Drosophila melanogaster: one gene and its partner. The protein of the gene in region 2 interacts with the protein of the main gene of each other region in a biochemical or structural test. Each region holds a gene or a part of one and is shown on either strand. Other genes may lie near its edges.

Evidence for each region.
Region 1: the proteins of cnn (region 2) and Plp form a complex in vitro, tested with the Drosophila melanogaster proteins (one study listed by BioGRID).

What each region holds. Positions count from the first base shown.
Region 1 is NT_037436.4:15,087,011-15,092,244, forward strand, and holds the start of Plp (Pericentrin-like protein), read right to left. Parts: upstream 3,184-5,234; 5' UTR 2,809-3,183; coding exon 2,782-2,808; intron 1,544-2,781; exon of another isoform or gene 1,316-1,543; coding exon of another isoform or gene 1,301-1,315; intron 1-1,300. Other genes in the region: sstn (stepping stone), read right to left, coding at 4,344-5,234.
Region 2 is NT_033778.4:13,447,346-13,452,558, forward strand, and holds the start of cnn (centrosomin), read right to left. Parts: upstream 3,131-5,213; 5' UTR 3,014-3,130; coding exon 2,829-3,013; intron 2,056-2,828; exon of another isoform or gene 1,652-2,055; intron 1-1,651. Other genes in the region: Golgin97 (golgin 97), read left to right, coding at 3,480-3,653, 3,745-4,530, 4,583-4,681, 4,977-5,213. UniProt on the Drosophila melanogaster protein: Core component of the centrosome throughout spermatogenesis. May participate in mitotic spindle assembly and the mechanics of morphogenesis through an interaction with microtubules, either directly or indirectly. Is a target of several homeotic genes.

The DNA of each region.
Region 1 (5,234 bases), on a different chromosome or scaffold from region 2:
CAACGTTTGAATAATAAGCCTTTTCCAACTTATATCGTAGATCATACAGTAAATGTCGGCTTACATATATGCAAACTTTTTAAATTTTATTTAAAATATATTTATTGCAATATTTGCTTTAAAAAAAAAAGAGTTATTTCCCATTTATATTAAGTTTAAATTGTAATTTACATACAATTCAAGTCCGTACTGTATTTTGAACGACTGAAAAATATATTTTCCATATTACACATACGCCATGTGGGTCAGGCCGTAACGCTTGACAAAGTTTTCACAATATTAGCGGAAAATGCTTGTGAAAAAGTTATCCAATTCCCGGCCACATGGTGGTTTGAACGTCCTTGAACTTGTCAGGACAAAGACAACAACAACACATTCAGGAAGTACCAGCACAGCGATAAGGATATCGGGATAACAAGTTTGCACCTATAACCATGACAACGGATTTTCTTTGAGTGTGCGTGAAAAACGAAAACGAAAGTCTTTTACATTCCTTGCAAACATTTCAATTTGTTGCTATAGTTTGGACCTCTTTTGTGGGCCGTTGTTTGGGTGTGACACACATTTCAGTTGGATCGTCTGAGGTTTTTGCACTTCGGCGACTAATAACAACAATGCCACTCCCCTTTGGAACGGGAAAAGGGGCGAAGGACCTAGCCCAACGTCTCTGTTAATGGCGCTGACGCCTTTCCTTTGATTTTCCACAAGATATTGTCGATAAACCCTCAATAATGGCACGCATATTGGCGAAAATGATTAAATTAATAGCTTTGCCTGGCGCAGAATTGACAGTGAAATATGTTGGACAAAAATAAATTCGGATTGGAGAAAGGATTTTCTTTTGCGTTGCTATGAAGAAAGGTTATTTCATTTAAAGGGTTTAGTTTAATATAAATTCTTAAACGCTTGCATTTAACATTTTCATATTTTATATAAAAATTTACATATGAACACACAATTTATATGATTGTGAAGTAGATGATGAATTGCTTTATATCCTATACCCGCATTTTATTTGATTTACAAACCAAATCTTTTACAGCATTATTCTTTCAAATAGTAATTCTAATAAATAATATTCAAGAACAATTAAGAATGAGATCGTATCGTAACTAAATTTATAGAAAATATGGTAAATACTGTATAATTTTCTCTAAGTACACTGCAATGCAAAAAAAATCCACTAATTTGGTTCATTATCATGCGGTTTCGAATGATATTAACACACTTTGGCTGGCGAGTGATGCAAATGTCACTGGGCGATGCTAAAGATCACATTGCGGACAATAACTGAACTCACATGCAATTTCCCCATTTCGCTGCCCGCCACTCATTCGATTCAATTCAGCGATGAAGAAGTTATCTCAATTAAATGCAATTTACAATCACTTAAAAAGTCCATATATCGACAATGGCTATTGAGGGTTACATTGTGCAAACTTCTACGTATATGCAAATGTTTCGTAGATTTTTTTAAACAATTTTATGGGATCACAGGCACTGACACTGCACTCTTATCTTTATAGAGCTATAAATGTGCGGAAAACCGAAAAACGACGACGCGACCGCCTGCAGTGCAGGTTCTTTTATAAATAAAACGCCCGAAGAGACATTCAATTGAAATCAGTCACTCAATCCGAGGAAAATCAAAAGAAAAGCGTTGGAAAAGAGCAGCCACGGGAGAGGCCGAGCGATTGAGAGCGAGTGCCGCGGAAATTTGCAACGCGGTTCCAAGCGGTTCCGTGCACCGAATGTTCGCTCCCATTTTTTATTTATAAACAAAATGTGTGTGTGGAACATAAATTTGTTTGGAAGATGGTGATAAATGCAAAAGAGTAGTTTTAAAAGCATTTAGAACTATTGTTTTACGATTCGCGATTGCGATTGATACTGAAGTAGCTATATATATAAGTACTTAGAATTAGTATTATAATCAGAATTAATGTCCCTCAAAAACTGTTATATTTCATTTTTTATAGTTAGTAATTTATAATTATTCTATAATCATCATAAAACATTTTAAGTTAAGTTTAAAAACTTGAAGTTCAAATTTTATTTTAAAATTTGTATACAATAACAATTTAATATAAGAAATTCGAGCCATTAATCATTTCGATGAATATTAAAAATTTTTGATCATTTTCGTATACATTATCCAAAAATTTTCATCGTATTGCGGTACATGTATTAGATTTATTCAGCAACAAGTTGCAGAAACATTCTTTCCTCAACAAAATCGATAAGCGAATCGGTTATTGTAGCGAGACATTTTTTCAAAAATATGAATATTGATGTTTATAATAAACAGGGAAACAGTAGCCAAGATTCACTAATAAATGTATTAGTTATTTAACAAAGCAATTAAAACCGCATAATGTGGACAATTCAATTATAATTTTCACTTAAAAAGTTGCTCTATAATAATAAAAAGTATGCTATTCAATGATATAAAATATAATACTTATTTAAAAAATAAAATATTATTTAAAATTCCTAATCCGTTGGGTATTTTTCACTGTAGATTGTTTACAGATTTCGGAAGGGCCTTGTGGTCTTCTAATCGAAAGTTCAAAGGCGCATTCAATTTCGATTTCATTTGTAAACACACTTGAAAAACAACATGTTCTGTTTGTGGATCGTAATGAATTGAAAACACACATATCAAGGCGCATTCAACCCACATTTTGTGGATTTTATGCACAATCCGAGAGCACAGATGATGGATGTTCGGCTCCCAAATGGGTTAATACTTTAATGGATACCCCTGATTGTTTGGCTTACCCAATCGTATATAGTGTACAGATTCATGGTGACTGCACTTGAACCAAATAATTTATGGCCTATTCCCTGTTTTTTGGCCGCCTTTGTTGACACTTGCGCCTGTCAGTTGGCTATATCTATAGGCATTCTAGATGTGGCCCAAATGCGATCCATTTTCTTGTTGATGTTTTTACGTAGTGGTTTTGATGACACTATATTTTAGAATTTTTTCGGGTTGACTTGCTTACAAACACAGACGAATGCAACGAACCGAATAATTTTGTAGGTTAGGTTGGAGACTTTACGTAAAATTTGATATTTTTTTAATTTAAAGTTTAACACGAAGACAACACAATGGGGGAAACTAGCTACTTAAAGCGTGAACTCTTAATTTATCATTATGTGATTTTCAATGCTCCTCGAGGGAGAAAGAACCGACAAATTTGAAACTTAAAAACAAAAAAAAACCAATAGTGCAACCGATCTGAAACAGTTGCACGTAATAGCGAGCGCGATGCAACTGAGAACCAAATCCATTGCGAAGAGTCTTTATATTTTTGGGGTATCGGGGGATATCCACGCTCTTTTTCTCCCCATCCAGATACTGTAATGCTCAGTGAAGCACAACAAGAGATTGTTTAAAAATAATCAATCGTAAACAAAATTTGTTGCAGTGGCATTGAGTTGGGGAGAGTCCAAAAGAGAGAATTCAATGTACTACTACCAGATCGCGAGAGAAACAAAGAGAAATCCGAGAGATAAAGGGGAGGAAAGTAATTAAGTTTTATCGGTTGTTCTATAAATAAGTTTTAACCAGAGATTAAGGAACTACAAGATATATTCGATAAGGAATGATTTAAGGAAGTGAGAACACATTTATGGGTATAAATGAGACATTTATTTATAGGCTAGGGAAATATAAAGCTTTCTTTTCATTTCAATTATTCAAAAAATCTGAAATGCTACAAGAGCATTAATAATGTTTTGAGAAAAATATTGGAAGTTCAACGAAATATTTGAATGCTTAAATATCAATAAAAACGCACTCGCATATATTTTAATATAAAATATTTATTTTTATCTATTTGTTATTGCTTGTCGGTAGTTAGTCTTAAGAAAACTCGGTGAATATATCAGTATCCAATCGGTATATTCATATAAAAATATCATTCGATTAGGGTAAATATCCTTTATACACTTATTAGTTAGCTAGTCAGTTATTTGTTTATAAATGCTGTTAACTATATAAAATATTTCCATATTTTCTAGGCATCCTGTTGTAAGGCGATTTCTGTCCCCCTCGGGGATAATATTGTCCTGTGTTTTTTGTACTTTAAAAATTCAATACAAAATTTGAATGTCGTTCGATAAATTGCTTTCAATACGTCAGTTTTCAATTTGGCAGATCTTTTGAGCATTGTTATTTTCTTGATCCTAAATAATTTGGCTAACGAACTTAAAATTCGAAAGGAGTCCAATAGTTTGAGCTGCTTTTGCTTTGTAGTTTCTCAGTGCTACAAAATTAGTTTAGTTAATCACATTAAAAGGTGAAAGTGCATGAGAATTCCGTACAACCTTATAGGTCAATTAGGATTTCCGCCCTCCTTTTGCTTAAACTTGGTGGAGTATTTGTAGAAATCGGACATCTCGAAGGGTTTCGTCACTTCCTTGTACGGCTGGAAAGTGGCCTGCTGAACTACGGTCATGTTTTTGGGCGACTCGATGCGAATTTCCGGCGATAAACTGGCTGTGGCCACTGTTACTGGCGGTGACACAAGCGCTGTTTGGACAGCATTCCCATGAGCAAGTCCGCTTGAACTGCCATTACCACTGTGACTTAGGTTCTGGTTCTGAGTATGAGCCTGATTTGCGGGTGGCGGTCTGGGCGGCGGCGTTGGCTGCTGCATTTGACTTGGCTTGGGTGGTAAGTTTCGCAGTGCTGGTATGTCCAGAGGTTCCAGCGGATACGATACCGATATCCCCAAAGTTTGCTCCATTGCATTGAGATACGAAGTCGATTGACTTAGCAGGGCTTTCGAACTGGTATTCACCGCATAGCTGGCACTGGGATAATTCGGAGTCGGTCGCTGGTTGGACATGGAATAGTGACGACCCGCTACCGACATGGACTGCGAGGAGAGCTTAGCGCGGGGTTTACTTGAAACCATGGCAGCTGCGCCGGGATTACTACTCCCATTACTACTCCCAGCTGGACTGTGGGGCTGTGAATCCATCTGCCTGATAACAGCTGGCCCATCTAGCGAAGATTCCAGCCACTGCTTGGGCTTGGGCTTCTTCTCAATGGTCGTGGACGAGGATGACAGTGAGATCTCATCGTGCGGCGGATAGCGGCTGGGTGGCATAGGCACCGCCAGCATATCGCTGGAGTGCGATTTCACCTCTATTATGCCCAATTGTGGAGGAGTTAAGGGCGCTATGTGTGACTGGGAACGCCATCGATATTGCTGCTGATG
Region 2 (5,213 bases):
TTAGTTGCTTTTACACGGGGTGGACACGTCATTCCTGGCTGCTGCTGCGGCTGCTGTTGTTGTTGTTGTTCTTGGCTTTATTCCCTAAATACTTTCGCGGCGCACGCCAAACTTCGTTACGTATCCGCCATGTCGTCTTCGAAGGGACGGGCAGCCATGAGTCATGGGCTGCTGGGCGATGCGACGTGCGCAGCAGCAATCAGGAGCATTCAGCCGTAGAGCGGAAGAAGAGTCTTCAAAGAGTCTGGCGCTCCTACGGACGGGATGCATCCCCAACAGGACGGGGGGTTGGACGACGGCACATGTGGGCCACCGCATCGTTGAAGATACTAACCACCACATACACTGCACCACGCACCGCCTCTGGTCGTTATTTATTTTGGGAATTGAGCAAACAGCAAAACGGCGACCGCATTAGAAACAGCAATTTGTGAACGGGACAAGAAAATTCTGCCAAACATTTTCACTCATTGTTTTGTTTTGGCATTCGGCTATCGCTGGTTACTATGGTGGTAATGAAAATCAATGGTTTAAGCCGACAGCTGAGCGACCTGGTCACTGGGAACAACAGGTGTGCATTTTGAACCGTGCCGGAACATGTGTCTCTTCGTTTAGCACCTGAACTTTGCCGCGAATGCATTTTAGGGCCCTCACATCGACAGGTAAACTGCAGTTAACAGCCCATTCTCACCTCACCTGGAACGCAGACGCGACTCATCTACCTGGCTGCCTGGCGCGCCTCGAGTGGGTGTCAAACTATGGCCAACGACACACAAAGGCGCCTGCCTTAATCAACAAAGAAATACAATAACAATAAACAGAAGTGGATCGAGACTATAGCGAGTGATATGCGAGGAAAGCATCTTAAGACAATAACCATATGACGAAGGACGCACTGAATCTTGAAGGCTTTTGAACAGGATGTCAAATGTCACTCATATTCATAAATCGAATCAAAACATTCATAAAATATGCAAGATGTTTATTGTTCAAAATTAGAAAGGAAATTTCAATTGAATAAGAAATAAAATATAACATTACTCAATTAAATTATGACTAAAGTGTGTTTTTTTTTAATTCCTTATTTAAATTTAAATGAATGCGATAAAAACAAAACTAAATGAGCCATTTGCATGATAAATTCTACTTATGATCCCTCAAATTACATATCATACAAACGATACTGTACTTTACCAACCAGGATGCTTTGTTTTTCGAGGGTAGGGAAGTCAGCGTTGCAGTTTTGGAAGGGCAACAAAAGAGGTGCTCTGTTCGGTTTTTACCCCATAGGGGTTAATTCCACGAGTCCATGACCCCTGATGAATGCACATGTGTATATAACTAACTAACCCACACACACACACATGGAGCATACGACGAAACTGCAGTCTGATAAGACGACTTGTGACGAAATTCAGAGTTCCAGGAAGTGCGAAAACGCAGATAATGATATAGGTTGTTGCGGCTGTCGATTGAGCCATGGAATGCTCTATTTCACAAACAAATTAATTCGTATACTTTTTCTCCGACTAAAATTAGCCGCAGCATCGTGGCGACAAAAACGACAAACGAACAACAACAACAACAGCAGCAGCAGCAGCATCAGGGGGCACAAGCACAGATATCTTTAGTATTTCTAAGTATATATTACATTTATTGTAAATCCGAGCACACTTTGTACTTTATATATCTGTGTATTTCGATTTGGTTTTTTGTTTTTCATCCGAGAACCACCAGCATCCCACTAATCGCTTATCCACAGCAACGAATGCAATAAATTACAAATCAATCTATCACTTTTTGTATCTCGCAGTGCAATATAAACAATTGCACTTATGTACAGATATGTATGTACAATCAATCACTCACACACCCGCACAACGCTTGACCCGCTGATTGTTTCTATTTACATATATGTATGTATATATGGGTAAGTGAGTATATAGATATGTATGTATGTACATATGGCACGATTGATAGCCGAGAGGCAAGCAAAATAAACCGAAAAACGCTCTCTGCACGTCCAAATAAACCGAAAGCTAGAACATAACTGACTGAAACTGCGATGCGACCGATTCAGAGCGACCAAAGGCAGAGCAGCAAACGGGCGGAAAACTCGGGCTCATCTGCGAGGAAAAAGGAAAATGCGCTCAGCAGATGTTACGCATTTCCCAATGCCGTACACAGCGAGAAAGCGGTCAGCAAACTCAGTTCATTGGCTACGAATAGAATACAGAAATATCTGTTGTATACTTAAGGGATTACATTTGTGTTCCCAATTCTTTTTCTTTTAAATTTTCATTTTCATTAGGAATCAGAATAGTAATAGTAAATCTAAAGATTATAATAAAAAAATGTATTAAACTTTGACTCTATTCAGCATTTGAAAAAGTGATGAAGCATACAATCTTAAAAATAAAAGTACATCTTATAAGAGTACCTTACAAATCTTATTTCATTTAAAATCGTAAATTAATCCAAATCACTTAATGTTTTTAAAAAACATTTTAAAATAAATATTGATGGAAATTTAGCTTTAAAATTTTTTTCAGTGCAGATGTATTATTGTTCCTCTCTTCGAATTTTTTGGGGTGGGTAATACGCCCATTGTACGCCTGTGCTTGTGAGTATGCCTCCCCCTATGGGGCCGAGCAGTACGGATGCGGGAGAGCTCCAGCTGAGAGCGTTAGTTCCCGATCACAGTGGGCACGATCACCATGTCACATGGCGATCATCTGCTGCGCACTCGCAGTTGCCAGGGATTTCGATGGATTTGCCACACAAGTCTTATTGGTAAGCTATTGTTTATGCTAGTGTTTTGGACTTACTCGTCTATGCTTTTGGACAGTGCCTCGGCTAGTTTGCGCAGGACCCTTCTGTCGATTTCGGCGGCGCCATTCTCCTCCAGGAAACTGGTCACGGTCTCAATTAAGGTGATTTCCTTCAAGGACGATGCACAGGTACCATTGCCGTCGCCGCAATAGTCCCGCAAAACCTGTTTAGACTGGTCCATGGGAGGTCCTCAAATAGTTAACTTTCGCACACAATAATTCTAACACTTGACAATTTCACAAAGGACGCTAACAATTACACTTTTTTTCTGTTTGGAAAATGAAGCGCGCTGGAACAGCTGTTTCTGGCGTCAGTTATCGAAATGCTGCCATGCGCACTGGCAGCACTGCCGTACAACGGGAAAAAGTTAACACAGCGGTATGGCAACGCTGTTCGTCGATTTACGTTACTGCAAAGTCGATTCTTATCGATGGTAAACAACATCGACGGTTTACGAAAATTAGCATTCGCCTGATAAGCAAGTAGAACACTACGGCCACCAGATATAACGCCATGCTATAAACGCTCTGTGGGCACGTTTTCGTCAGCCCCAGCCACAAGCAGGCCAACTTCAGTCGGGGGCAGTACACATACAGAAAATAGAGCAGCGCAACAGAGAAAAAGCTCCCCCCTCGAAAAACCTAACAATGTTTGCTACACTGAAAAACAAGATCAAGGAGGAAACTGGCGATGATGTGGTCCAATCAGCCAATCAACGTTATCCCGGCAACAACAACAACAATTACCGGCTACGTAGTCGCCGCGTTAGCATTAATTCCAACTCAGCTGATGATGTGGGCGGTGGCGGATTCTACAATGAGGTAAACTGAGCGAAAAAAAAACAGTCTATTTGTGTATACTTACACATTAAACAAAAACACGGATAAACAAACACCTTCACTCTTTTCGCAGTCGGAGCAATTGTGCGAGCTGCGAAGTCAGTGCAACGAGCTCACCACGAAGCTGTCCACCGTCACGCAGGGATTGCAGCAGCTGCAGGAGGAGAAGACGCGCGTGGACAAGACCAACGAGATTCTGCTAGAGAGTGTGCGTGTGGCCCAGACGCAGAAGGACATATACTGCGAGGAGCAGGAGAAGATTCAGAATCTACAGCAAATCGAGATTGACAAGCTGAAGAATCTGCTTAGCTTTCGGGAGCAGGAGTCGGTGGATCGCATGGGTCTCATGCGCCAGCAGACCCAGCAAATCGAGTCCTTGAGCGAGGAACTAGAACGTCTGCGTCCCATTGAATCCGTGGCCGAAGATTTACGCGACGAACTAGAGCAACTGCGACATTCTACACAGCAGGAGAAGAATCTGCTGACCACAACACTGGCGGCTGTACAGGAGGAGAACCGGCACCTCAAAAAGCGCATGAAAATCGTCGAGGAGTCGCGACTCGAGTCTCTGGGCAAACTGAACTCCGAGCAACAAGTGCAAGCCCTTATCCGGGAACATAAACTGCTGGAACAGCACTTAGAGGAGGCCCATCTGCAGTTGTCGGACATCAAAGGCTCGTGGAGTGGCCAGAATCTGGCGCTGGAAACCCAAGTTAGTCGTCTATCCAAGCAAGTGGCCGAAGAGACCACCGAAAAGCGAAAGGCCCTTAAATCCCGCGACGATGCCATTGAAAGCCGCAAGCAGGTATCATTCGAACTCGAAAAAGCCAAAGATGAAATAAAGCAGCGGGACGATAAGGTAGGTTAGATAGTAATACCTATGTGCCAATACTTATGCACTTTAATTGCAGGTCAAGCTGCTGGAGGAGGAAATCGATGAACTTAGTGTGGCCCTGAAAGAGTGCCGAGAGGAGAACGAGCAGCAAGTCCTCTTTGAGCGCAATAAATCTGTGAGTATGCCTCCCGATTCTGACGATTTCCATTGGGACTTGTAACACTAATTTAACCAACAATGCAGTACTAACTCTACCAATTAAGCTCCTGGTTTACTTGGAATTTTCCAACCACACCTATTATGTAGTTTTTGATTGTAAATGTTTTCCTTTTCGTATTAAACTGATTTAATCGTTGGCAAACTTTTTGGTAAACTTTTTCCTTCAATAATGCACGCATATATATGTTTACCCTCAATATCCAAAACTGATTGATGGAGATTTTGTAAACCAATAAACCGAATGTTCTCAGCAAAATTTGGAAACAGAGGTAAAAGATCTCAAGACTCGTCTCACGGCAGCGGATGACAGGTTCAGCGAGTACTCCTCGAATGCCGAGCAGGTGGCCCAAAAGCTACGGGTTCAGGTGACTGAAAAGCAGGAGCAGCTGGACGAAACCATAATGCAACTGGAAATCGAACGAGAGGAGAAAATGACTGCAATACTTCGCAATGCGGAAATCGCCCAGAGCGAAGACATTTTACGGCAA